7 linked regions of the Mus musculus genome follow. The protein of the gene in region 6 binds, or shares a complex with, the protein of the main gene of each other region. Links are inferred from orthologs where the notes say so. Each region holds a gene or a part of one and is shown on either strand. Other genes may lie near its edges. The genes, in order: Tfdp1, Mybl2, Mybl1, E2f4, Lin54, Rbl2 and Ogt.

What was found.
Region 1: Rbl2 (region 6) and Tfdp1 share a complex: the UniProt entries of both Homo sapiens proteins name them as parts of the DREAM complex. The link is inferred for Mus musculus from reciprocal best matches to the Homo sapiens genes RBL2 and TFDP1.
Region 2: Rbl2 (region 6) and Mybl2 share a complex: the UniProt entries of both Homo sapiens proteins name them as parts of the DREAM complex. The link is inferred for Mus musculus from reciprocal best matches to the Homo sapiens genes RBL2 and MYBL2.
Region 3: Rbl2 (region 6) and Mybl1 share a complex: the UniProt entries of both Homo sapiens proteins name them as parts of the DREAM complex. The link is inferred for Mus musculus from reciprocal best matches to the Homo sapiens genes RBL2 and MYBL1.
Region 4: Rbl2 (region 6) and E2f4 share a complex: the UniProt entries of both Homo sapiens proteins name them as parts of the DREAM complex. The link is inferred for Mus musculus from reciprocal best matches to the Homo sapiens genes RBL2 and E2F4.
Region 5: Rbl2 (region 6) and Lin54 share a complex: the UniProt entries of both Homo sapiens proteins name them as parts of the DREAM complex. The link is inferred for Mus musculus from reciprocal best matches to the Homo sapiens genes RBL2 and LIN54.
Region 7: the proteins of Rbl2 (region 6) and Ogt are in contact, whole or in part, in a crystal structure (PDB 4XI9), measured with the Homo sapiens proteins. The link is inferred for Mus musculus from reciprocal best matches to the Homo sapiens genes RBL2 and OGT. Residues at the interface, in NP_001310537.1 of Homo sapiens: Thr417, Pro418, Val419, Ser420, Thr421, Ala422; in NP_858058.1 of Homo sapiens: His506, His508, His509, Asn567, His568, Pro569, Tyr642, Thr643, Lys644, Gln849, Phe878, Val905, Ala906.

Annotation. Positions count from the first base shown.
Region 1 is NC_000074.6:13,337,242-13,341,770, forward strand, and holds the start of Tfdp1 (transcription factor Dp-1), read left to right. Parts: upstream 1-1,509; 5' UTR 1,510-1,565; exon of another isoform or gene 1,566-1,679; intron 1,680-1,700; exon of another isoform or gene 1,701-2,199; intron 2,200-2,423; 5' UTR 2,424-2,486; coding exon 2,487-2,498; intron 2,499-4,529. UniProt on the Homo sapiens protein: Can stimulate E2F-dependent transcription.
Region 2 is NC_000068.7:163,071,614-163,075,395, forward strand, and holds part of Mybl2 (myb-related protein B), read left to right. Parts: intron 1-1,010; coding exon 1,011-1,301; intron 1,302-2,768; coding exon 2,769-3,191; intron 3,192-3,782. UniProt on the Homo sapiens protein: Transcription factor involved in the regulation of cell survival, proliferation, and differentiation. Transactivates the expression of the CLU gene.
Region 3 is NC_000067.6:9,686,634-9,690,415, forward strand, and holds part of Mybl1 (myb-related protein A), read right to left. Parts: intron 3,541-3,782; coding exon 3,448-3,540; intron 1,149-3,447; coding exon 928-1,148; intron 1-927. UniProt on the Homo sapiens protein: Transcription factor that specifically recognizes the sequence 5'-YAAC[GT]G-3'.
Region 4 is NC_000074.6:105,302,987-105,305,872, forward strand, and holds the end of E2f4 (transcription factor E2F4), read left to right. Parts: intron 1-1,198; coding exon 1,199-1,246; intron 1,247-1,446; coding exon 1,447-1,491; intron 1,492-1,586; coding exon 1,587-1,702; 3' UTR 1,703-2,384; downstream 2,385-2,886. Other genes in the region: Elmo3 (engulfment and cell motility protein 3), read left to right, coding at 2,766-2,843. UniProt on the Homo sapiens protein: Transcription activator that binds DNA cooperatively with DP proteins through the E2 recognition site, 5'-TTTC[CG]CGC-3' found in the promoter region of a number of genes whose products are involved in cell cycle regulation or in DNA replication.
Region 5 is NC_000071.6:100,452,124-100,455,905, forward strand, and holds part of Lin54 (protein lin-54 homolog), read right to left. Parts: intron 2,386-3,782; coding exon 2,312-2,385; intron 2,015-2,311; coding exon 1,817-2,014; intron 970-1,816; coding exon 878-969; intron 221-877; coding exon 149-220; intron 1-148. UniProt on the Homo sapiens protein: Component of the DREAM complex, a multiprotein complex that can both act as a transcription activator or repressor depending on the context. In G0 phase, the complex binds to more than 800 promoters and is required for repression of E2F target genes.
Region 6 is NC_000074.6:91,068,539-91,073,013, forward strand, and holds the start of Rbl2 (retinoblastoma-like protein 2), read left to right. Parts: upstream 1-1,518; 5' UTR 1,519-1,637; coding exon 1,638-1,868; intron 1,869-4,475. UniProt on the Homo sapiens protein: Key regulator of entry into cell division. Directly involved in heterochromatin formation by maintaining overall chromatin structure and, in particular, that of constitutive heterochromatin by stabilizing histone methylation.
Region 7 is NC_000086.7:101,667,295-101,671,076, reverse strand, and holds part of Ogt (UDP-N-acetylglucosamine--peptide N-acetylglucosaminyltransferase 110 kDa subunit), read right to left. Parts: coding exon 3,646-3,782; intron 3,562-3,645; coding exon 3,460-3,561; intron 3,098-3,459; coding exon 2,918-3,097; intron 1,321-2,917; coding exon 1,162-1,320; intron 1,047-1,161; coding exon 957-1,046; intron 1-956. UniProt on the Homo sapiens protein: Catalyzes the transfer of a single N-acetylglucosamine from UDP-GlcNAc to a serine or threonine residue in cytoplasmic and nuclear proteins resulting in their modification with a beta-linked N-acetylglucosamine (O-GlcNAc).

The sequences.
Region 1 (4,529 bases), about 78 Mb from region 6:
CTTGTGATGGCAAAGAGTCTAGTGCAAGCTATTGACACACTCATGCCTTGGGTATTTCTGGTGCAAGCTATTGACACACTCATGCCTTGGGTATTTCTGGTGCAAGCTATTGACACACTCATGCCTTGGGTATTTCTGGTGCAAGCTATTGACACACTCATGCCTGGGTATCGCCTCTTCTGCTTCAGCAATAAGCAGCTGTGGTTGCAGGGCTGCTTCCTCAAAGCCGCTGAGCAGTGTTCAAACAGGACAGCTGCTGGCGGACAGTTCGGCCAGATGCTAAAGAAGGGCTGTTGGGCTGAGTCATGGGACTGAGGCAGCCAGGTAACGGAGAAAGATCTGTCAGTTTGGGAGTCAAATTGACCTTTCCTCCAGAATAAAATCCGGTCACTCACATTAACAGTTTTCTGATAGTACTTAACTTTGCCCTGCTCTTCAGTCCCATATTCTTGGGAAACGTTGTGTCATTTTATCTGAACCATTTGGACTGATTTGTGAGCCCCAGCCTATTCTCCTCCCAGGCTCTCCAGCTTTAGTCTTAAAGAAGTGGCCTCTAAGATGGACTGAGTCTTCAAGGCTCAGGGTCTACCAGACCCCTCTTGGGATGAAGCAGAAGGTTTCTGAAGTGAAAGGCGCAAATGCATACACACCTGATTAACAGGCTGTTTCCTGCCCTGAATCACTGACAGCCCAGGCTCAGGGCATGTGGCTGTGGAGGTCAGTAGTTGAGCAGAGGTGGGGGATCTTGTCTCTGTATTGTTCAGTATGCATCCGAACAGTCTTTACTTTGTTCTGTGTAAATGAACAAGATTCTTCTCCCTGTGTGCACATGCAGGTACTTTAAAGCACTCTCAGAACTGACCTCTTTTTTCTCATGTGTACACACACGCCTGCTTTTTTTCAGTGCGCAGACATTAACATAGGTTTCCATATGTTTGCACAGAGGGTTCTCTTCTGTATATATGTTCAGGCGTGCACACACGACTGATACTCCATGTACACACACGTGTATACAGTCAGACTCTGCATATCCACAGGTGTGCACACACATGATCCTTTCCCTACGTGTGCATGCAGGTATGGCACACACCACATTCTTTTCACCGTTGGCGCGCGTGGTACACGCGCACACACAGAGCCAAACACGTGGCCCTCTACTCCCTGCGCATGCACACAGATATGCATACAGTTGGCCCTTGGTGTACACACACACACACATACACACACACACACACACACACACACACACACACACACACACACACAGAGGCGCGCACACACGTGGCCTCTCTCCGAGCGCACATGGAGACGCGCGCAGCGCTGTTCGGCGTCGGCGGTCTCCAGCCGGGTCCCGCCGCACGCGCACGCGCGCGCAGGCCCCGCCCCTCTCCCAGGGCGGGTAGCACCGGCGAGAGGCGCGGGAGATGAGCGGCGGGAGGAGGAGGAGGAGGAGGAGGGCGCCGAAGGCGCGAAAAGGCGCGCAGGCGCGCTGCGCGCAGCGGGCCCGCCGCCGCCCACGTCACCGCGCCGCGCGCACGTCACGCCGGCCCGACGCTCGGCCCAGGGTGAGCCCGCGTCCCGGCGCCGCTGGCTCAGGGCAGGGACCGCCAGGGCCGGACCTCCGGGCCGGCGCCTCCGCGCCCCCGTCGTCCGCCCCGCGCGCCCCGCCGGCCAGCCAGGTGTGGCGGGGGCACCGGCCGGTCGCGGCGGGAGGGCGCAGGCTGGGCGCGCGGCCCCGTTCCCGCCCCAGCCCGGTTCCCGCGTCCGGTCGCATCCCGCCCGCCGCCCAGCCTCAGCTGGAGTCGGCCTCGACGCGGCGTGGCGTGGGCGGCGGGCAGGGGTCCTGGCCACCCTCCGGCTCTGTCCGCGCCAGGGCGCGGGGCTGGTGGCTGGGCCTAGTGACAGGTGGGGCGAGCGGGCGGGCGGCCGGGAGCCCACCTGTCAGAGTGGTCGGCGGCCCCTCGGGGTCTTGGGCAGCCCGGGGTGGGGGGTGCCCGCCGCGGCCCGGGCGGAGCCACGCAGTGTCGTGTGCCCAAGTGGGGGGCCTTGTGCCTCGGCGGGGCCTGTGGTCAGGCGGGGCCCGCGTGCCCAGGTGGGGTGAGCCTGACGGCTGCGCGTCGCTCAGCCAAGGGTCCGGGGTCTGGCCCCGCTGCCGGTGGGAGCTGCTGGTGCCCGCAGGGAGCATTTCCATTTAGAGAGGTGACTTAAAATCCCCGTGTGGGACCTGCTTGGCTAGCTCTCCTGTCGGGATTGTGCAAGAAAGGCCCCTGCTGCCTGGAGGCCTGCCTCTGCCTCGTGCTGGTGGGGAGATGTTTCCTTTGAAATGCGATGTGCGTTAAATTTCTTCTCATTCTCATTCATTATTCATCCCCTCCCTTTTTTTCTTTTCTTTCTTTCTTTCTTTTTTTTTTTTTTTTAACCAGATAAGTACGGTTTCTTCTGTGGAGGGTACGCAGTTAAAGCCTTGATTTCCTGGATCTGGTAACATGGCAAAAGATGTAAGTATGGTCGCTGCATGCTGCAGACATGTTGGCACAGCTCGTTGCAGTTTTCTCCCTTTATTTGAGAGTGGCCATACGTGTGTGGCAGTGGGTTGGCCAAGACATTTTACAGGCAGGAGCTGGGATGGAGATGAGGGATGATGGCGAGAGTCGTTAGGTGGGTGTCTCCCCTCTGCACAAATGGTCTTTGTCATCCGAAGCGTGACACGTTTTTTTTTTCTTTTTTGTTTTTTTTTTCGTGGTTTGATGATGATGTCTTGATTTTTTTTTCTTTATCTAAACTGCTTAAATAAAATAAAAAAATTAATACATCTCTCAGTTATGAGTGTGTGAGAGGGTGTTGTTTGTTAGTGGGTTTCCACACAGGAGAGCTGTCAACATGGAACTTACACTGTACTAGTTTTATGTAGTACGTAAGACCGTAATCCAGCTTTGATGGATTGAATCCCAACTACTTGTTTGGGCACATTTTTCTCAGAAAGATGACATTTGGTGATTAATGAAACACCGTGGAAATGCTGGTTGGTTTAGCTTCATATTTATCACGAAGCTACCGAGCGTTTTGAAGTTTTTTTGGGAAACAGGTATGGACAATTAGGTTTTAAGGCTGTAAATACAGTCTGTATTGTTGGTCACATACATACATTTTTGCAGTATTGCTTTAACTCCCTCCAACACTGATCGTGTCCGTTCCAGTGTTCCTCAGTGTCCACTGTTCTGTGACTGTTAGATTCATGCCTTTTCTGTGCAGCCCTGGAAATGCAGGCAGACATGCCGCATCAGCTAGAGTTGTGCCCAGGTGTAGCGGAACCGTGGTGCAGGTGCGGAGTCCTGTCCTGACTGGCCCGCATGGAACAGACCCTCTTCTGGTCATCGAGCACCGGACCTGCTCCTGGGGGCCGGGGGGGGGGGGGGGTCATGTCTCACCCTGAGAGACCTTGTGTAGGTCACCTGAAGTCACAACTACATATGGCACTGGCTTGATCTCGTTATATCTGTTGTCTATGTACATCCATGTCCTGACTCCGTCCCCACGAGTGCCCTAATGAGAGACATGCCACCCAGCGCATGCCTACAAAGTAGCTAGATTTGGTGAATGGGTGTAAACGGGGTGCTGGCTCCCGTGCCTTTGTGAGGCCACATGGCATGGTGTAGTTTCACTGAGTCAGCATACTCAAGCCCAGTCATCTTAGTTTGTCATTATACACTCCTGTGTGCAGTGTCCCCTGGGGAGGCAAGTGGTCAGGAGCTCCTGTCCGGCTGCCGGTTTGGGGTTAGCCATTGTGGTGTGGCTAGGCCAGTGCTGTGACTGGGTATCAGAATGCTGCAGCTTAGTCCCCCAACAAGTGCGCACAGACATAGGCAGAGGTGAAGTGGCGCTCCCTGTTTTCTTGCAGACAGTCAAGGGTTGGGTCTTCTCTGTAGCCAACTGTGTTTTTAAGTAGGATGTGATGTTTGGGTTCGGAAAGGGACTTTGTAACTTATGCTGAAGGGAAAGAAAGAGGCACCATTGAAGTGTTCTAAGCACTTGATGCTTAAGTGAAATCTGGTTGTAAAGGGTCCTGTAGACATGTGGCTCTGAAGGCCATGACACTGGTGAGAACAGACAAAAGTCACGCTTGAGGTCACAGAAGAGGGGCAGGAAGGGCAGACAGAAGACAAATAACTTAGGGTTTTTCTGCCCCTGCTGGTGCCCAGGCAGACCAGCAGGTAAGTTGGGCTCACTGTGAACCGGGGCTGTGAAGCCGGGCAGGCAGTTGTCAGTGGACAGGATGGGGATGGCAGGAGCTGGCACGGAGCAGTGGAGTGGGGGTGAGTGCCTGCAGATACTCTGGGGCGCACCTGCAGTGCTTTCCTGTGGTACTGTAGACTGTCCGAGTGTGGGAAGAGCATGTGGCCAGGGTGAGCCATGATCACCCTGCCTTGAAAGCTAGAGGGGCTTGGTTTGGGCGTCTTCTCCCAAGGTCGGTGCTGGCACTCCCTGCCTAGCAAGCCCTGCTGTCTTCCTGAAGATAGTATTCTTGAATC
Region 2 (3,782 bases), on a different chromosome or scaffold from region 6:
AAAGTATGTTGTGTTTTCAGATTCTATACTGAGCACCCTGAAGAGTTTCAGGGAGCGTGCATGGAGTCTCCATCCCATTTCTAAAGGGCCTTGCTTGCCCTTGCTCCCTCCCACAGGCCTGCAACCCCAGGGCTCAGCTCAGTTAACCATTTGCCTGATCTATGCCTACTTACTGCATTGCTTCTGTGTGTCCTGTTTACTTTATCTTGGCCGGGTGCTGGGGCCCATGCCCTTAGCCCCATCACCCCAGAGGCAGAAGCTGGTCAACAAAGACAAAAGGAAAAGGAAAATCAAGACTTGACTGCATTTTGTTTTGTTTTGTTTTTCGAGACAGGGTTTCTCTGTATAGCTCTGGCTGTCCTGGAACTCACTTTGTAGACCAGGCTGGCCTTCCTGATTTGGCTTGTATTTTCTAAGATATGCTCCTGATGTGTTTATTTCTAAACCAGGGACTTCCACATTGATCCTGAACCTTGTGGAGATAATGATTCGTTTTTGTTTGTTTGCTTGCTTGCTTTAAAAGACATTTTTTAAAAAATGTGTGTGTTTGCGCTTGCGCACACATGCATGAGTGCAAACACACACATGTGGAAGTCGGAACAGAGTGTCTTCTGCCAGATGGGGCTTATGGACCAAACTCAGGTTATCAGCCCAGCTGCAAGCACCTTTACTTGCTGAGCAATTTTTAGCCCACACTGCTGTGGGGTTTACCACGCAACTTCTGGGGCAGCAGACAAGTGCTGCTGTGGCCAGCATTGATTCCAGGGCCTCTGTCTCGTCTATAGTCTGTGTTCCATTTAGTTAATGACAGTGTCATTTATGCATCAGCCTCATTGGCCTCTGTCATGATACTAATATGTTTTGAAGTGCTCAGTACAGTTGAAATGTCTCTCAATTTCTGTCCCTGTGAGTTCCTTTGATGCTTGATTTGGGTTATGTGTTTTTAGCTACAAGCTGCAGCACGGTCAATATTTCAACAAAAATCTACAGTGTGCCCTTGTATTCTACAGGGAAGTCTCGTGAGCAGCTGGCCGCTGGTGCCCTCTATTGTGAAGGAGGAGAGCAGCGAGGAGGAGATTGCCATAGCTGCTACTTCTGCTAAAGAACTCGGACATGAGCCTGTCCCTGCTGATCTGGGAGAAGTGCGCACCCCAGAGCCCCCAGAATCTCTCAAGCGTGAATACCAGGAGTTCTCCTCCCCGGAAACGAGCCTGCCCTACAAGTGGGTGGTAGAGGCGGCAAACCTCCTCATCCCGGCTGTGGGGTCCAGCCTCTCTGAAGCTCTGGACTTGATTGAGTCGGTATGTTGATCCCAGCAGGTACACAGCAGGTAACACTTCTCTTGTGAACTGCCCCTTCCCCAACCTACCATTTATTGAATGATGGGGGCTGCCCAGCTCTGAGCAGGCTGGGGACACCAGCTAGGTCATTACAATATTTACCCTCCAGCATGGAGTGGGTGAGAAGGCTTCCCAGAGATGGGCCGAATTGGTATTACAGGGTTAGATCTCACTGGAGAGGCGCCGCCAAGGGCCAGGAGTCATGGTTGCTCTGGAGCAACAAGAGGGTTTGGCTGCTCAGCCAAGGCCATGCTTGCTGCCGTGGGCCGTGCTCCCTGTGCGGCTTTTCCTGAGGAGACAAATACACACCTGTTTACCCCAGACCTGTACTGAGGACAGATGAAGGAAGCAATTGCGCACAGGTCTAACATGGCAGACTAATGAAATCCTTGGAGATACCAGCAGGATTGTGGGTGACAGGAAGATTCCTGCATGACCAGAAGAAGAGTGACAGACTCCTAAAGGCAGTCTCCCTGGAGCTTACAGCCCAACATACATGAAACCTGGGGGCAGAATCTCTTTTTCACCAGCAGTTATTTATTGCTTTATAACCCTGGGGAGGGGCCTTATGGCTCTTGTAACTTTCCTCTAGGAGGGAATGTGTCATTTCCGAGAAAATAGCTAAACAGTGACTTTGCCTGAGAGCCTGTGGGTGGAGCCACTCCTTTTGGTGTGACCTTCAGGTGTCCTTATGTCTAACTCTTCCAAGGGGAAGATCAGGGAAAGATGCACAAAACCTGCCCTCTACCCTCCCCAGCCGCCTCCCCAGGCATTGCTGCAGGACATGCTCCCTACCACCAAGATGCCTTCTGTCTCCAAGACCTCTGAGCTCTGGGGTCAGCCCAGCTGCCAGCTAGTTTCCACTTAGTAGGAATAAGCTGCCCCTGGCTCCGGCAAGTCCCCACAACCACAACTCACAACCGGGCTCTGGATCTACTTAGGGCAGCGTCTCCAGGATCAAAATGGAAGCTTCTGTTTCTAGAAAGCTTTGGGTAAAGACAGAGGACATGTGGTTCCTGTTTGTTCTTAGGGGCTTAGTTAGCGTGGGTTCCTTGATGTGAAAGTGAGCAAAGGAGCTAGTGAGACGGCTCAGGGGATAGAGAGAGGTGCCTATCACCAAGCCTGGCCATCTAAATCCAATCCTCAGGACCCACGAGCTAGGAGAGACCTAACTCCTTACACTAGCACATAAACGTATGTAATGAACCATAAACCAGCAAAGCCATGTTTTCCCAGCCGGTTGCTATGGGGACTGTAAAGCTGCTGATGGGCAAGCATCCCATTCAAGTTTCCGTATATGTAGAACACTGAAGAAATGGATGTAGACAGTAGTTAACAGTAGTGACTAAGTGGATAAGGGACCGAACTTGACACTGGTCACTTAAGTTCTGCTGTGTTAGGAGGACCTTTAACCTCCCTCTCTGGCAGGACCCTGATGCTTGGTGCGACCTGAGTAAATTTGACCTTCCTGAAGAACCCTCTACGGAGGGCAGTGTCGTCAGCAGCCCAGTGCAGCCCCAGACGTCGCAGCAGCAGCAGGAGGAGGCACTGCAGTCATCCCAGCAGGCTGCCACGCCGGGGCCCAGTGTGACTGAGTACCGCCTTGATGGCCACACTATTTCAGACCTGAGCCGGAGCAGTCGGGGGGAGCTGATCCCCATTTCTCCTAGCACTGAGTTTGGGGGCTCAGGCATTGGCACACCTCCCTCAGTGCTCAAGCGACAGAAGAAACGGCGTGTGGCCCTGTCGCCTGTCACAGAGAACAGTGCCAGCCTGTCCTTCCTGGACTCTTGTAACAGCCTCACCCCGAAGAGCACGCCTGTCAAAACCCTCCCCTTCTCTCCTTCCCAGGTGTGTGGGCACCTCTGCCTACCTCCGCTTCCATACATAAATATCTCGTGCCCAGCGAGGGCCCGGCACAGGTACACACTGGATAATCAGTGTTCACCGATTATCTCCCTGTGCCCGGTGCTCAGGTGCCCGCAGTGAGCAAACCCAGAGCTGGCCCTGCCCCCTTGGAGCTAACACTCTAGGCTGCGGGTCCAGACGAGTGGTCACATGGAGAAGGAGGAGGCTGTGGGGCTGGGAGCGGGGCTGGCTAAGGTCAGTAGTAACTCTGAAGTGAAGGACAGCCTTATTCTGGCTTCAGGTCCAAGGTATAGGCCACCAAGGCGAGGAACTCACAATGACAGGAGCTGAAAGCAGCTGGTCACACTACAGCCAGCCAAGAGGCAGACCGGTGTCCCATTCAGCTTCCTTTCCCTTTGTTACTCAGTCCAAGACCCCAGCCTATGAGCGGGCATTGCCCATATTAGGGTGGATTATCCCATCTCATTTAACTGGACCTAGAAAATTCCTTGCAGATTGGCAGAGGTTTGTTCCCATGGCAACTATGTAAACACCATCAAGTTGGTAACTAGGGATCCTGGAGGACTTTTAGGG
Region 3 (3,782 bases), on a different chromosome or scaffold from region 6:
TATTTTTAAACAATGAGTTCATCAGCTCCCTTTTTGCCCAAGGTTCTTTTTATAAAGATGAACCTAAAGCTATTTGTAGTATAAATTTCATTCTGCATAAAATATACACTTACTAGAAACCCACTCTGTTAAAGCACTAAGTGAGGTTCTACACAGAGTAAAAAGGTGCATAAAATACTGAATATATCAGAAGTTCACAGCCCAGGGATAGTAACTTGGACAAAAGAAAATATAATACTGCATCTTAATTTCCTATGAAACAAAGCATTAATGTTTCCTTTACATATTTCTAAAGTATACAAAGATTAAGGAATGCATATAAAAGCATATTAGTTACTATAAGTACTACATAGAGACTATAGCTATGAAGCATGAGGATATGTATTCTGAGTTAAGATATGAAATTGCCTAAGATAAGATCTGCAGTCCTAGTGGCTGTCAGAAGGTGTCTGAACAGTACAGTGGAGAATGCACTTAGTCACTGCTTCAGAGGAGAATACTACACTTCAGCTACATGGGCTTTCATATTCTACTCCCACAGCTTAAGAGCTAAGTTTCCGTAACATGCATTCACAAGAATTTACTTCAATCAAAGTACTTGTAGTCCCCTGGCCTTGTGCACAGTATGTGAAAGAGATCTCTAATTTAGATATCACTCCACCAGCTGTACAAGTTCTGCCTTACCAGCAATAACACATAAACATGACTTGTGGAGTAGATGAAATGTTTGCAAAGCTTAAAGGTTTTACCATTTTATTGTACAAATTATATTCTTTACCACAAAATTACAAATGTACCCAAATGGTTGCTCATAGCATGCAGACTAAACTTGAATTGTGAATAATAGAAAGGAAATACTTGAAAATATATTCAATAGTAAGGTAGTCAAGGTCATGTTGAAGCACAGAAACTTATTTATGTAAGCACCTTCCAGGAAGTAACTTAGCAATCTCGGCCCAACGGTTTCCCAGGCGCTTGTGTGCTTCATATATGATCCTGTCTTCTTCTTCTGTCCAGGAAGACTTCTTCACTTCAGGGTTCAGGTGATTGTGCCATCTTTCTCTGCACTGCTTGCCTATTCTTCCTTTTAAATGTTTTGCAATTAAAGACCACCTTTTTGGCCCATATTTCTGAACTAATTCAATAACCTAAGAAGCAAAATCAAAGATTGAAAAACTATTACTATGAAAGAATTTTAAAATGTAACTCAAACAAGTCAAGGTTGGGGTCATTACGGAACATTTTGGTTTTTCTTTTATTCCCAATACAAGGTCCTAGGTTTGATCTGAAGCACCTCAACAACAACAACAAAAAGAGAAAAAAAACTCCAAATTAAGAATTCTACTTAAGGCGTGGTGGCCAGCCTGGTCTACAGAGTGAGTTCCAGGACAGCCAAGGCTACACAGAGAAACCCTGTCTCAAAAGACCAAAAAAAGAAAACATGGATTAAATTTCAGCTATAACTATAATTCACAGAAGGTAATGTTAATAATAGCTATCCTTCAGCACTCAACGAGTTCAAAAATCAATACCCAAAATGCATCAAAAAGTTCAAGGGGCTAATTACTCATAGATAATTATTCTGAAGTAATTTGAAGTAACTGAAGTAACATTTGTACATTTGTCCTATATTTTGTTTGCTTTTAGTTTAACTAAAATTTAAAGAACAGTTCATCTCCTTGGCCCACCTACTTCGCTGCTACTCTGACCCAGTCAAGTATCACATGAATCACAAAGAATTATGCTCACTCTGTATTGGTAGATTAATTAAGTTTAACATCTATCACAATTTTCTTGAAATGTGTCTACTTGTCATATTTTTAAAAAATAAGACTTAAAGGTTAAATGTACAGCTTTGATTATTTGATTACAGCTTTTTGGTTTTTCTTTTTTGCCCAGTACTAGGTATGTTTAACAAGTGTTCTACCATGAATTATATTCCCAGCCCTTTTCTTCATTTCGATTTTTAAACAGGGTCTCACTAAGTTACCCAGGTAGGCCTTAAACTTGCCATGAATGTCCTATCTAGACCTACTGAGTAGCTAGAATTATAGACAATGTACTAGATCCAGCCATTAAATATCTTTTTAACAGAGCTCACATTGTATTTTACTTAATCATTTTTATTATTATTATTTGCATGTTTATGATTTGTAAGTATGAGTGTTAGACAAATACAAACCACAGTGACTATGTAGAAGACAGAAGACAACTGTCCTCTTCACTAGCCCCAGATCACATTTTCAAAACTTATCATCGCCCATTAAGAAAAGTCAGATCAGTCCTGAGCCACATGAAGTAACTTTTGTTTGTTTGCTCTTATGGGTATAAGGATGTCCTAATTCCACAGGCACCTTAGCAACAGGAAAGCTAAGGGTAAGAATTAAAGAGCAATTCCTAGTAGAGAGCAGATGCTTCTATTCTTCAACAACTTTTATTGCACAAATAATTGGTTTTTATTACAACCCCTCTGGAAACATGATGTCCTGATACTTGTCTAATCATGAGATTCATTACGGTCAAGAGGAAAAATTAAGAGTGATTTCCTAATATATCAAGTTATTAAATATGAAAATAAAATTAAAATTTATTTTTAATGTTAATTAAATTTTGATAGGAAACTATGCCTGACATGTTGCTAAGCCAAACTTTAAAGTATTTTTCCTTTTGTAAATGAAGCTCTCAAAAAGGACAGTACTTATTATAAATTGTCTCACTTATCCTTGCCCTAGGAGAGAAAAAGCTACATTTCAAGGCATTCAACATTCAATTCTTATGCTTATAGCCTCCAAAGAACAGAACCAACAAACTTAAAGTGTGCACTGGGGAAAATGGTTCAGTTACTGAAGTGCTTTCCTTGCAAGCATGAAAACCTGAATTCCATACCCAGAAACAACATTTTTAAAAGCCAGGCATAATGGCATATACATGCAATCCCAGCAATGGGGCAGATCCATAATGCTCACAGGCCCACCAACCTACTCCTACTTGGCAACCTTAAGACCAATGAGAGCCCCCATGTCATAAAAATAAATCCCGAATGATACTGTCTTAAGAAACACCACCAGTCCTCCAGCCTCCTCACATATGTTTGCAATACATGTATGTCCACCTCCAACCTTAGCATACACACACACACACACACACATATCATACTTTGTGTTAAACCATGTTAATAAGAAAATTAATCTAATCCATCAGTACAGTGAACATAAAGAATATGAACAAGGAGCAAGGAATGGCTCCATGGCACTTGGCATTAAACCTGATGACCAAGTTTGATCTCTAAGACCCACACAGTGGGTGGAAGGAGAGAACTAGTTCCCACAAATTATCCTTTGACCTCTACATGTGAGCTGTGGCATAAGGATAAACACACATACATGTCCCCAAACATATATACACAAATAAATAATAAATTTTTTCAAAAGAATATGAATATATTACCCTCTGATCTTCTTCCTTAGTCCAAGGACCCTTTATCAATTCTGGATTTAAAACCTTCTGCCATCGATGTTGGCACTGAAAATCAGAACGATTCTGAAAAAATTTGGACAATTTTATTGTTGACTATATATCTCCAGGAAGTAAATTAGCCCAAATTTAAGTATACCCATATGAACAAATATTAGTCAAAAAAATATTCAATATCAAACTATTATATGCAATGCTTATTTTACATGCCTAAAATCCCAATTCTGCTCTTTCAATTAATCATAGGTTTAGGCTACAAATTAAAAACAACATATTTGAAATTAAGACATGTACCTCTATACTATCCT
Region 4 (2,886 bases), about 14 Mb from region 6:
AGTTTATCAGTTATGAGTTTCTGCATTGACTCCTGCCATTTTCTCTAAGCAACAAAGAAGCATAAAAATTGAGGAGGCAGTTTGGTAATGTGTGCATTTAACAAAGCAACAGCAGTAAGTTCCCCCTAGGGTCAACAATCTCTCTAGCCATGGTGTTTGACAAGGTTTACAGTATCAGTCTGGTAGGAATTACTTCCTGTGGAGCTGGCCTTAAAGACAAGGAAAGGGGTTGGTTGCCCTCATAAGTTACGCCACTACTGTACCAGGAGGCACATTGCCACATTGCCAGGTAGGTTGGTATTATATCGTGCATGGTCTATTGCCTGTTAACCCATTAAACCATCCTTTTCTTTCTTTCTTTCTTTCTTTTTTTTTTTTTGTGGATTTTTTTTCAAGACAGGGTTTCTCTGTGTAGCTCTGGCTGTCCTGGAACTCACTTTGTAGACCATGCTGGCCTCAAACTCAGAAATCCGCCTGCCTCTGCCTCCCAAGTGCTGGGATTAAAGGCGTGCACCACCACCGCCCAGCCATCCTTTTCTTTATTCTCAGAAATGGAATGACTCAGCAATGCAGTCCTGATTGGTATTTCTCAGTGTTTAAATACAGCTCAGTGGTAAAGTGCTTGCTAAGCATGAATGAGGACATGTCGCCAGCAACGACAGGAAGCGCTGGGGATGGAGAGTGATGCATGTGCATTCCTGCCCCCAAGATGTTCCAGGGATTGGCATTAGGATGTCAGTGTTCCAGACAAGCATTTGTGCCTGATGCCTTATTTCATTGTCGTCTACCCCCCCCCCCCGAAACTTTAAAACATTTCGTGTGTGTGTGTGTGTGTGTGTGTGTGTGTGTGTGTGTGTGTGTGTAAATGTGTAAATGCTGTGTTGTGTACGGGCAGTGTTGGATTCCCCTGGAGCTGGAATTAGACGTGGTTGTGAGACAGGGCATCCATCTTGTGTAAGACAAGATGTGCACTGCTGGCTCAGAAAGGGGGTTCTACAGTGCCTCTGAGAATAGCTGGATGTGTCACCTGCACTAGACCTTTGGTAGCCTTGGCTCAGCATCGAAGAATGTAGGTCAGCGGATAAAAACCTGAGGAATGTGTAGAGCCCTGGAGCCTAGTGGTGTACGACGTGAAGCAAGCTGAACTATAGTAGAACTCAGCTGAGCTTCCTGTGAGCTTGGCTTTCTTCTCTTTCAGTTCTGGATCTCCCCAAAGAGCTGTCAGAAATCTTCGACCCCACGAGAGGTAGGCGGTGTTCCTCCTTTTGATTGGATGCAGGGCATAAGGAGCATAGTTTGAGTTCTGGGTTCCCTTCTAAGGGTATCTGCTGGGTATCCCAGAAAAAGGGTGAGGTTCCTAATGGGCCTGTGTGGGGGTCTCATTCCTGGGCTTTGGTGGGTGGAGGCGCAAGAGCCAGAATCTGAATGAATTGTGTTCATTCCCAGAGTGCATGAGCTCCGAGCTGCTGGAAGAACTGATGTCTTCAGAAGGTGGGTAGCCCAGGAAGATAAGGGTAGCTGTGAGCAAGGGGGTGGGTGACTGCTGGGGGTCTTGGCCTAAGACCTCAGCCTAATGCTTTCTGCAGTGTTTGCCCCCCTCCTCCGACTTTCTCCACCTCCCGGAGACCACGATTACATCTACAACCTGGACGAGAGTGAAGGTGTCTGTGATCTCTTTGATGTTCCTGTTCTCAAACTCTGACTGACAGGGACATGTCCTGTGCAGCTGCAACCCAGACTGTCTGGGCCTGGAGCCAACTAGGGACTGCCCCCCACCCCCACCCTAACCCCAAGAGCCCAACTCTTGGCTTACTCAGCCTTTTCTGGTCGCTCAGTTCGGGCTGTGCTCTCCTGTCTTGCACTGGCACTTGTGACTGTGCTAGCATAGCTGGGCAGAGAGCTTAGCCCTCTCTACATGGAGCCTTCCCCAGCCAGGCTCAGCTGCCCCTCAGTGGCACCTCTGCCTTGTTCCTACCAGTCACTATGAAGGAGGTTCAGAGAGAGGGTGGTGCTGGGTGGTTGCCTACCATCACCTTTCCTTTCCCACCTGCTCACCCTGCAGCCTCTGGACATCTCGGATGCTCCCTGAGAGTCCTGGGATCTCTGGGCAGTCATGGTGGAGGGGGTTAATAAGGAATTGCTGTGTCTAGCTAGGAGTCTGGGAGGGTTGGTACCTAAGAATGGCTCCAGCTCCTGCCCACCCACCCCCATCTCCCTTCACTTCCACTTATTCACTTACCCTCATTTAGAGCCATTGCAGAGATTTAGAAAGATTTACAGTAACGAATGAATTCCTATATAAAGATTATTTTTATACTTTTTTCAACAAAAGGAAATGTAATATTTGTACAGCATTCAAGTGAATAAAGACATGCCTAAGGCTATCTCTGATCTGGTTCTTTGGGGCCCCTACCTGGGACGCTGGATTGTTGCTGAGACTGGGTGGGTCACCTTACTGGAATGGGAGGTGTGGCTGCTGTGTAGGAAGCCTGCTGCCACAGCCTCTACCTGCTGCACCTTGGTGTGGGGCGGGGCCAGGCAGGCCTCTACGGGGCGGAGCAGGGCAGGGCAGGCGGGGTCTTACCCTCCTACCCCTGAGATTAACCCGGAACTAACAGGCTCCTTTGGGAAGGCCTCGGAGCCCGATCAGGAGTGGGAACCTGGGCTGTGAGTGCAGGCTACAAGTCCTAGACCCTAGACCGGGTGCACTCTCGGCGGGAGGTGGCACATTAGTGCCAAGTGCCAGCGGCCACCGCGGCTGGACTATGGCGCCCCCGCGGAATGTGGTGAAGATTGCTGTTCAGATGTCTGACGCCATCCCACAGCTTATCCAGCTAGACCAGGTCAATGGGACTGTCCAAACTCCGCCTCTCGCTTCTGGGTTGT
Region 5 (3,782 bases), on a different chromosome or scaffold from region 6:
CCAGCTCACTGTGGAGCAGAGCATCCTCTGGACTCTATTTTCAAGTGTGACAACCACTGGGCTTGTACTTCCATGCCCAACTAGCTTCATTTAATTGTAAGAACATGTGTAGTTGCATCAAATAAGCAGACAGTAATAAACTACTCACAATTTCAAACACAGTGATTTTGTACAGTTACAGGGTTTTCTGGGCCGACTGGTAGACTCTGATGGAATTATGCTGTCCAGACACACATACACACACACACAAAAAAAATCAATTAGTTACTTAAAACTAGTAAAACAACCTCCAATCTATAAATTCTGCCTAACATAAAACATTAATAGATGCTTCCACTTCTGGCAAAACTTTATTAGAATGTCTCCTTTACATTTTAAAAAATATTATCAGCAATTGCTAGGAATACATCACACATCCTCTTCTCTCTGAGAGAACTGAAGCTGAAAAGCTATAAAAGCTCCTGGGGTTTCATCACGAAGAGAGAAGGAAGGAGGAGGAGGTGCGCGAAGAACGGGCAGTGGGACCAAATGGGCTGGTTAACTCAGCACGGGTCACAGACCAACAGAGCAAAGGCAGCCAAGAGCTGCCAAACAATAACATGGAGCCAACACTCAACACGTGAAGAACAGCACTAAACACCGTTTTACAAACATTCACAGCGAGCGGAGAAACACAGAAAAGCTGGCAAAGGACAGGAGGGAATCCATTGCTGATGGTCTCTAAACTTGTCCATTTCAACTATCTCAAAATAGAGTGCTTTAGACAAATGCACAGCTTTAAAGGGAAAAACAAATGGAATATATTTCAAATAAATCTATTTAATGCTGCACTTAAACTGACTTAATAATTCAATTTACATATTTTCAAAATACTCACCCATTGAATGGAAGCCTTGCCTGTGTCTGGATGCCAGATGTTCCAGTAAAATTAGAGTTGCTTGCTATAGACACATATGAAGACTGCTGTAACTATTAGGAAAAAAAAATAAGTTAATATTTGCAAAATTGATAGCACTCTCAGACATAACAATATGTAAGAAGCATGACTACCCAAAGATAAAAAGCAATGGGGAATTTCATATAAACTTGATGGCGTGTTTTTAAAGACCTCAACCAACACTAGTGAAATAGCATGAATGTCTAACAGCATTGAATGGTACAGATATAAAAAGACTACCTCACAAAGGACAATGTCAGGGTTATAGGAAATTCTAGGTGAACATCCTCCAATACCAAAATAACATCTCTCAAGTGAGAAATGCACCGGGCCCACACACAGCTCCTATCCACTCTGCACTGCTATGTGAACTCAGGAAGCATCGTGGTCCCCTGGCTGAGAGCCGTGGTTCTCGCTCACCCTTCCAGCCCCCAAGGCAGAGGCATGGTCAGCTCCATGCTGCCCTATACTAAAGTGTCATCCTGTCTCAAAAAGTCCCCAAGAAATGTACCTTACAAACTACTTTCCAGCACAAGCCAGTAGCATCATATCTGTGTGTGCAGATGAACGTTAGTGTGTGCACAGTCTTTCCTAAAATCACCGGGATTCTGATTTTTAATGTCAACTTTGTAAAATGCTTATCTATAGTCTTGCCCTATCACCAAACTATTCCAAACTACCCAACTTTTAAATCTTATTTCTGCTACATATCTCTAAATTCTAAACAAAAATAAATTCAGATGTTCAATTAATATAACACTTTAGAAAGAGCCATTTTAATACAGAGCTGATGTTTATATTGTACTTAGAACGTGGTAGAGTTAGACACTCTAAGGGCAAACAGCAGCTCCAAAGCATAGGCCCTTCACCCCCACGTACCTGAGTAACATACTGAGCTGGAAGCACTGCATAGCCCACATTCCCTGTTCCTGGAGCTGGTGCCAGCACAGTACCTGGTGGCAGGTTAGTGAGGTTGGGCTGGATCTGAGGCAGTGGTGTGGCAGGCATGATGAGCCGCTGCTGTGGCTGGCTGGTAGTTACAATTTGTGAAGTTGAATTGATTGGTTTTGGAACAACCTTAAAAAAAAAAAAAGAAAATTTGTGACTAAATAATACAAACCATTAATTTTATGGGAGCTTAATCCAGTATACAAATTATTTTCTAGCTTTTCAAAACAGAGTTTCTCTAGATGGCCTTGGCTGTCCTGAAACTGGCTCTGTAGACCAGGCTGGCCAAGTCTGACTCAGAGATCTGCCTGTCTCTGCTTCCCAAGTGCTGGGATTAAATGAATGTGTCACCATGCCCAGCTTCTTATAACTAAAAAGTAAATTGCCCTTTGGGAAAAAAAAATGGAGAAGCTACACAATACTCACTTGCTTAACGGCCTGAGCTTGGACAAATGGAACTGACATCCGTACAGGGGTGGTATTAACAACCACTGGTTTTGCTTTAAAAAAAAATAAATAATAATATTTACAAAAAACAGTACTGAAAACACTTAAGAATCCTTATCCTTCAAGCTATGCTTAGGAACCAGCTTAGAGCATCCCACCTGATTCTCACTTTGCGCATCTTTAATCAAAGACAGTTAGTTACCTTTCTTGAGAGGCAGAGGCAAGATCCATGGATCTCTGTGAGTTGGGAGGCCAGCCTGACTTACATAATGAGTTCCAGGCCTGCCCAGGCTACAATAAAAACCAAACCAAAACAACAACAACAATAAAGAAAAACACCACCAACAACAAAAGGGAGTAGTTACCTGTCACAGTTGTTATTCCCCCCAGCAATATGAATCTGAGGTGAGAAACCCCCCAGGGGAGGGACTATCTGCAGGCTCAAAGCTTCCCACTGAAATCCCTCAACCTGTGCTCAGAGCCGCATACAAAACCGAAAACAAATGCACTGCATTTACAAGTTCAGCTAAGCACACCATTCTGTGCTACTACTTTTACTTTCTGTGTTTTTCTTTACGCTAGAAAAAAGATCATGCTGGAACAACTAGGTATTTAAAAAAGACAGCAGGGCAAAAAGGCTAAGAGTCTGAGTTCTTGAGCTGGGAAGATGGCTCACTCAGCAAGTGCACAGAATTTAATCCCTGAAATTTACGTGGTTGAAGAAAAAAGCCAACTCCCACAACACTGACACACATGCATGTGAACACACCACACATGCACACACACAGACATGCATGTGCACACATGTGCACATACATAACACCCATGAACTTACATATACATGAGCAGTCACATATAGACATGTGCACACACATGCATATACACATGCACATATGAGCATATATGCACATGAACACATACTCACATGAATGCACACACTTACTAATAATGAAAAAGTAAGTTCTAAAGTCAAAAGACCCAGTGGTTCAAGACCCAGCTCTGCCACTTTTAAGTGTGTAGGCTCTTTGCATGTGATGTGAGTAGTAAATTCACTACTGCTATTACTGTAACCCTGCTACTGTATAAATGCTACTAAGGGCAGGGTACCCCAGGAGACTCAAGATTAAAGCTCTTGCTCTCAAGATTATACTCTTGAACAGATTAGGCAAGTACCCAAATAAAAGAAAAAAACAGGTCTTAAAAAAAGACTTCTAGGGCTGCTGAGATGGCTCAGTGGGTAAGAGCACCCGACTGCTCTTCCGAAGGTCCAGAGTTCAAATCCCAACAACCACATGGTGGCTCACAACCATCCGTAACGAGATCTGACTCCCTCTTCTGGAGTGTCTGAAGACAGCTACAATGTACTTACATATAATAAATAAATAAATCTTAAAAAAAAAAGACTTCTATAGTTTATGTGTAATGTGTAGCGGTGTTTTCCACCTGCATT
Region 6 (4,475 bases):
ACTCTCCTCAGGACTCCACCAGCTTATGTTCTCCCCCCCCCCCGCCCCCCTCCACCCCCCCCCACCCCTCCACCTCCCCACACACCTCCACGCCCCCCCCACCCCACCCCCCGCTGCTGAGATTACAAGCCAACCCTCCATTCCTGGCTTTTAACACCTGCTCCCGCAACACATGTGAGTTATACAGGTTGATCTCAGGTGAGGGATTTTTTTTTTGCCACTGAGAATCTCCCCAGCCCTTTTCAATCAATGTGTTTATCTCCACTAGATTCTCTTCACCACTTAAGCCCATGCAATGTGCCTTAAAAGTTTCTTTTCCGTGAGCAAATTCTTTGAAATTCCCTTCATATCTAAGCTTAGTTAGAGATTCGGTAGCTTTAACACCTCAAATCATAAATATAGGAAAGTTTCAAGCCCGGGGACAAAAGGCTGAGGTGCCTATTTAACATATCAAAGAGGACCTGGCTGCTCTGTTCTCCTGGTAGCCCTCAACCTCTACCTGTTACCATAGCCAGCCCCCTACCCAAAACTCTCCAGCTCAAGGGGTGGGCTGTGCTTTCCTATATAATCCAGACATTTTAGTTTCTAGCTCGGTGTACCTTTGGGCCTTCTAGCTGCTGCACCTGGTTCCCCTCTCTCCCCTCTCTCCCTTCACCTCCCGCGCCCCCTCCCCGCACTCTCCTCCCTCAGGTGGCTCAGGGTCATGTCCACTCTGGACTCACTCAGATGTCCCTGCTCTACGCTCTTCCTTTTATCTGTAAGAAACTTTAGCCGTATCTAGGAGCAGTTATGTGATAGCTAATATACATTTTAAGTTATTCTTGAAAACACATTCATGATTATTTGTGTGATTGAGGGTTGAGGGTTGAGGGTTTTTTATTTTGTTTTTGTTTGGTGAAGTGAGATCAATTCTTAGCTCAATATACCTTTGCCATTGATAGCGTTGACATAGGAGTGTCACTTGAGGAATCCTCTCTGTTGGATTGACCTGTGGGTCTTGCCTAGGGAGGTGGCGGCCGCGGGGGTGGCGTTGTATTAAGAAAGTAGCTGATAAAGCAACGGGGAGCTAAGTCAGTAAGCAGCGTCCTGCTTTAACCTCCGTCAATGATGAACTGTAAAGACTAAAATGAAATAAGCCCTTTCCTCTCCGAGTTGGTTACAGTCCGTGTTTATCTCAGCAACAGAGACTAGAAAGGGCAGGCAAACTATTATCTTTACTTTGGACCTTTTAGCTTTACTATCTGAGGACCTCTAGGTGAGGATGTGTGTAAAGGGCTTATATACTAAATCCTGTCGATATTTCTTGGTCTTTTTCTCTTCAAACGAGCCTTCTGAATGGTCTCACTATTGAGAGATGCTTTTTAAAACGGTAGAGGACGTGTCCATTCACCCCTAAATGATGCACAGCTCGTTTTTTGCTTTCTTCTTCCATGACTTTTGGTCTCCCTGAGATCCCGGCCGAGACTACATTTCCCAGCAGGCCGTGCTCAGACCTACGGGTGCCCGCATGGGACTGAGGAACTTTGGGGGCGGCACAGTAGCAGGACAGGCTGCTGACGGGCCGGCGCTTCGCGGTTTGAATGGCTGCGGGCCCGGGCCCTGAGCGCATCTGAAGAGCCGCGGCCTCGGGGTGCGCCATGGCATCTGGAGGCAACCAGTCGCCACCGCCTCCTCCAGCTGCTGCAGCCAGCTCGGAGGAAGAGGAGGAGGATGGCGACGCCGCGGATCGCGCGCAGCCCGCGGGGTCCCCGAGCCATCAGATCCAGCAGCGGTTCGAGGAGCTGTGCAGCCGCCTCAACATGGACGAGGCGGCGCGCGCCGAGGCCTGGAGCAGCTACCGCAGCATGAGCGAGAGCTACACGCTGGAGGTGCGTGCTCAGATCCTCCGTGGAGATCGGGGACTCGGGGTGGCCCTAGGATCACTTGGTCGTTTGCCCCGCACCATTGCCTCCCCCTGGCTTTGCGGCCGTCAGAGGAAACTCATTAAGTTTCAGGCTTGCTTACGTGTGAGAATGGCTTAGGATTTATTGTCCCCCACCCCCCGGGCAGATGAAAAGCGGGTGTAGACACACAACATTTGTTGCTGAACTTGGGCACTCTTTTTGGCTGTCATCCAGGTGTAGGCTTGTTATGTTCCGTTCTTGGGACGGGGCTTTGCAGTTGACGAAAATGGCTATTCGGGCTAGTGCCTGTCAACTCTGCAGGCACCTCCCCTGTATGGGCCAATGGGAAGTGACACGGAAGTCCGGATTGTTTTTCAGCTGCCTGTGCGTATGACCCTTTGATTTTATATATGGAAGCTTATCGAAGTAGCAGAGCAAAGAGGCCCCCGACCCGAAGGCTAAGCAAGGTGTTATTTAACTATGATATGGATGTACTTGTGCCATTCTTCTGAGTCGGTTTATTTCTATTTTTTTAAAAATCGACACACATCGAATTCCCCTCTCTCCATTTGTTACACTCACAAAAAAAAGAAACATGGCAGCTTTAGACCTGTGTCTGAGTGACTCTGGACAAGTTTTTAACCACAGTGAAACTCAGTTATGTTGTGTGAGCAGTTTTGTTACTTGTGCCCACTTCAAAGTGCTTACCTAAAGCTTAACTAAAGCAATGTGTGTATGTGTGCAGAAAATTTCCTAGACTGAAGCAGTCTGGCTGAAGAGACCGTAGCCGCCTTCCTTACCCAGTGTTTCCGATAGCCAGGCAAAGAGGAGAACTTCTGGTTTGAAGGACACAAATACTCCCAAACGAATTCTTACTTCACCTTAGAGATGACGCTGTAAATTAGCAAGAATGAGTATTATAACATAGCAGAGACTTCAAATCACAGACTAAGTCATATGAAGCCTGGTGTCACATATGCAAGTGGCATTTAACAGATGCTTAGTAAATTAGTGTGTGTGTGTGTGTGTGTGTGTGTGTGTGTGTGTGTGTGTGTGTGTGTTGGTCAGAGGACGGCTTTGGGGAGTCAGTCTATCTTTTCACCCGTGGATCACTGCAAGTCTGTTAAATCTGTTGGTCAGCTAGTGCCTTTACCTGCTCAGCCTTGCCAGCTCGACTAGTAAATCGTTTTGAAAACATAGTCACTATTTCTTGTTTGGCTGAGGCGTTCTATTTATTTGTTTGTTTATTATTTATGTCTTATTTGGATTGGTTAGTGAGGTTTTAATCTCGATTCTTAGCCCAGTTGACCCTTGCCATAGCTTCAGTTGTCAACTTGACACACCTGGGAATGGGGAGGCCTCATCTGAGGAGTCACCTCCATCAGATGGATGGTGGGCATGCCTGTGGGGCATGGAGGTGGGCATGCCTGTGGGGCATGCTCTATCATCAGATGGACGGTGGGCATGCTCTATCATCAGATGGATGGTGGGCATGCCTGTGGGGCATGCTCTTAGTTGCTAATTGATGTCGCCCACAGTGGGCTATGCTGCCCCTCCTGGTCCTGGACTGTATAAGGGAGGCCTCATTAGCTGTTTCAGCTCTTGCCTCCCAGTTCCTGCCTGGAGCTCCCAATGATAGCCTGTAACCCTTTCCTCCCCAAGTTGCTTTTAGTCATGGTGTCTATCTTAGCACATCTAGGACAGCCCTATACTGGCACGAATACTTGTTCATTTTGGAGTATTTCCTGAGCCCCTATCTCTTGCCATAGGTTTTCTAGGTACTGGGAAGAAAGCAGTGGGTGAAACCTAAAACTCCCTGATGCATGAGTTTCCGGTCAGGAATACTGGAGAATAAGTAATGTAGACCAGCAGTTGTCTGAAAACATACAGAGGAAATAAAGCACACTTGATCATTAATACTTACCATCTGCTTTAGAATTCTCTCAACTGTTTTCCTGAAATCGATTTGAAAATTTTATTTTATGCAAATAAATGCTTTGCCCACATGTATGACTATGTACCAAAATGCAGGCTTGGAACCTAAAGAGGTCAGAAGAGGGTGTCAGAGCCCCTGGATCTGGCATTATTCGGTGAAGTGCCACCACATGGGTACTGGGAACGAAAACAGAGACCTCTGGGAGAGCAGTCACTGCTCTTAACCACTGAGCCATCTCTCCAGCCCCATATTCTGAATTCTTGTAGTTTATTTAATTCTCACTGTTGTCAATGAAGAAAATGAAACCTCTGGACTTAAGTAGTTTGCCCATGGTGAGCTCTCTAATATGTGGCCAAGGCAGATCTACTTGAGTTCCATGGCCATGGACTGTGAATTAGAAATATCTCTTCTCCCCACTTCCACCCATTTTTTTTTTGTTTGTTTGTTTGGGTTTGGTTTGGGTTTTTTGGGGGGGAGCGAAGGAGGGGAGTTATATGAGACAGGGTGTCATCTAGTACAGCCTGGCCTTGAACTTGCTGAGGGTGTAGCTGAGAATAACCTTGAACGTCAGATCCTCAAGCCAGTTGGGGTTGGAAGAGTGGGCCACCATGTCCAGTTCATGTCCAGGACCTCAAGCACACCAGGGAAGCAGGACC
Region 7 (3,782 bases), on a different chromosome or scaffold from region 6:
AGCAAATTAAATTCTCCCATAGGTTTCAACTTTAATTCATCACAAAATTTACAGAGTAAAGAACAGAGCCAAACACAGAAATAAAGACAACTAACCAGAAGGGCATGGTAGCACCTACCACAATCTCAGAACTTATAGAGGGCTGAAGCAAAAGGAACACTACAGAAGGCCAACCTGGTCTACATTGTGTATTTCAGGCCAGACAGGGTTAGGAGCATAGTAAGTCTCTGCCTCAATGCTCCCCCTGCCACCCTACAAAAGAATGAAACAACAAAGCTGGGGGCTGGTGAGATGGCTCAGTGGGTAAGAGCACCCGACTGCTCTTCCGAAGGTCCGAAGTTCAAATCCCAGCAACCACATGGTGGCTCACAACCACCCGTAATGAGATCTGATGCCCTCTTCTGGTGTATCTGAAGACAACTACAGTGTACTTACATATAATAAATAAATAAATCTTTAAAAAAAAAAAAAAAAAAAAGAAACAACAAAGCTGGGCGGTAGTGGCGCACGCCTTTAATCCCAGCACTCAGGAGGCAGAGGCAGGAGGATTTCTGAGTTCGAGGCCAGCCTGGTCTATAAAGTGAGTTCCAGGACAGCCAGGGCTATACAGAAAAACCAAAAGAAAAAAGAAAAAAAAAAGAAAAAAAAGAAAGAAACAACAACAACACACAAACATTCTCAGAAATAGGTAAGGCAACTTTCTACTACTGTGTTGTTTTATTTTTAATGAGATGGGGGCCTCACATAGCCTTTGCTTTCTTTGAAAGAAATCCTCATCTTCTTAACACCCAAGATGTATTTCCTTTTTAAACTATTTATTCTTTTATTTATTCAGTAGGGTTTTGTTTTTGTTTTGTTTTGTTTGTTTTTTCCTAGACAGGGTTTCTCTATATATAAAACTAAAAATCTTTTAGGGGAAAAAAAAAATGGAAGGATCAGAACGATCACAGTTTTACCTGAGAAAGATCAATGAAATGATTGGCTTCCGCCATCACCTTCACTCGAAAGTTTGTACCATCATCCGGGCTCAAGGCATAGCAGAATACCTGAAAGGCAGGGAGGGGACAGTGTGCTCAATAACCTTTGCTCCAACCTTCTCAAAAGGAAGTGAAGTTAATGCTGAAGATGACAGGGTAAAGCCACCAAAAAACCCATTCTTACCTCAAACTTATCAGGATTATGCATGCCTGGAATAGACTGCATAAGGTGTGAAGTAGGGTGATTCCCGAAGTCAGAACTCACATAGCCTACACGCAATCGGCCATCACTGAGCTTCAAGTCTTTTGGATGTTCATATGGTGGTTTATGAAGGACATTAATCTAGCAGCAGAATAAATGGTCATTAGGAAAATCAAGTCATGTGTAAATGTTTTATCTAAAAAACCGTTAGAACTGAGACTGGTGATGAAGCGCAGTTGGTAGTGCGCTTTGCCTAGCACATATAAAGTCCTAGTGGTTCTGATGCCAGAACCACATGAAAAGCAGGCATATGGTATCCCAACCCTCAGGAGGCTGAGGCATATGGATCGCTGAGCCTACACACTGGGTTACCAGCCATCCAGTATCATGTAGTGAGACAAAACAACAACGACAAAAACTACATGAGCATGTTGGTGCACCCCTGAGACCCTGTAATTGTGAGGTAGAAATATAAAGGATCTGAGGTTCGAGGTGATCCTCAGAGAATTTAAAGCTAACCTGGCATACATGAAACCTATCCCAAACAAAGCTAAAACAAATGATGACAAATCTAAAATTGGAGAGCTGGGGAGCTGTCTCAGCTGTTAAGAGCACTGATTGCTCTTCCAGAGGTCCTGAGTTCAATTCCCAGCAACCATATGGTGGCTCACAACCATCTGTAATGGGATCCGATGCCCTCTTCTGGCCTATAGATGTATTTTATATGCAGCAGAGCACTCAGAAATTAAACATTAAAACAACCATATAAACCCACACCTATGAAAAAAACTTTGGATAGCAAACTTCATTTAGTTCATGTGGCCAGTTTGATGTCACCTTAGCAGTTTAGGTCAGCAGTTCTGTGGCAGCTGCACAGTGTGCATGCTTCATACATAACCTGTACTGAGACCTATGAAACAGCCTGAACAGATCTCACAGTTCTAGGAAGAAAGAAATGTGAATGGAGTAGGAAAACCCTTACCGTATTTTAGGAAATTCTGTGGAGAAGCATTTTTTGGGGGGGGGAGAGGAAGGAGGGAGGGAGAAAGAAGGAAAGAGGGAGGAGGGAGAGGGGGGGGGGGAAAGAGACAGAGAATCTACCACTGTTTCCTTCCTGGAGCAGGTTCTAAACTCTAAACTTCTAAAGTCGTGTTCTAATTCTCACATGCTCTATTTAAGCACCATGTAGGACTTTTGTTGTCCTTGCCTTTAGCTTGCCTTTTTTTTTCCTCCCTGAGACAGGTTTTCTCTGTGTAGCCCTGGCTGTCCTGGAACTCACTTTGTAGACCAGGCTGGCCTCGAACTCAGAAATCCTCCTGCCTCCGCCTCCCGAGTGCTGGGAATAAAGGCGTGCGCCACCACACCTGGCTTCTTAGCTTGCTTTTTAGATGGGAAGTTTCTGCTTGGTTGTGGTTTGGAGGCAGGAGCTATGTATGCTATGTAGCCTAGGCTGGCCTCAATTCACCATCCTCTGCCTCTAAGTTTTGAGATTACAGAAGTACTGGGATAGGTTTGTGCCACTATGCCTAGCCTAAATTTCCACCTTAAAGGAAAACACTACCATTAGAAACGAAGAACTGCGCTGCAGTCAGGCCACAGTGAAGCCACAGTGAAGAGTAGCTTCAAGGGCAGCTAAGACAGTTTCATTTCTAGCTGGTAAAGCCATACATTTAATTTATACAATGTTTTTCTCTATCTGCATTTTAGTTTATAACAAAAAGATTAAAACAGGAGTCACCTTATCCAAGCAGAGATTCCCATGCCTCTCTGCAATAGCCTTCCTGAAGCCATGGGAAAGAGGGTACAGCATGCTATGGTGAGGATGGACAGAAGGCAGTCTATTCTTCTCTAGCTGCTCAGCTACAATACTAACCAATTTCTTCATCCGCTCATCATAGTCTGTCCAATCACAGACAATCTAGAGGAAGCAAAAAGAAATTATCACCCAAAAAACCTACCCAAAGATTTATTTTACAAGTATTTGAGCTCCTAGAGTAGTATTAGGCAATCTCCTACAAGCATGGTCTTGCGGCTGGCTCGCTGAGAAAAGGCGTACCTTGCGTACCTGACAACGAGTCCAATGCCTAGGACCCAGGTGCTAAAAGAAATGACTCCTAAAAGCTGCCCTATGACTGCCAGTTGCCCCAAAAAAATAAAAATAAAATAAAAAATAAAAATGAAAACACTGTCTTGTCTCTAAACAGGCCTAGATTATTATGACACACAATTAAAAAATGGTGACGTTGCAGAAAGAAAAATAATGGACCATTTATTCTTTACCTGTAGGCAATGAGCCAAGTTACAATAAGCATCAGGAAAGTCAGGCTTAAGTTTCAGAGCTGTGCGGTAAGAAGCTATTGCTTCTGGGATATTCCCTGAATCCTGGAAAGAAAACGAACTTGTAAGGAGTTTCTTACAATGATAGGTCAGTGCTAAGGTACCCCATATTTGAATAAACAACAGTACCTTGTGAATGGAGGCCAGATTGCTGTGTGCATCAGCAAAGGCAGGATTAATCTGGATGGCACGAGTATAACACTGCAAAGCGCCCTGCACATCCTGCATCTCCTTTAGAGTGTTTCCCATATTGGAATAAGCATCAG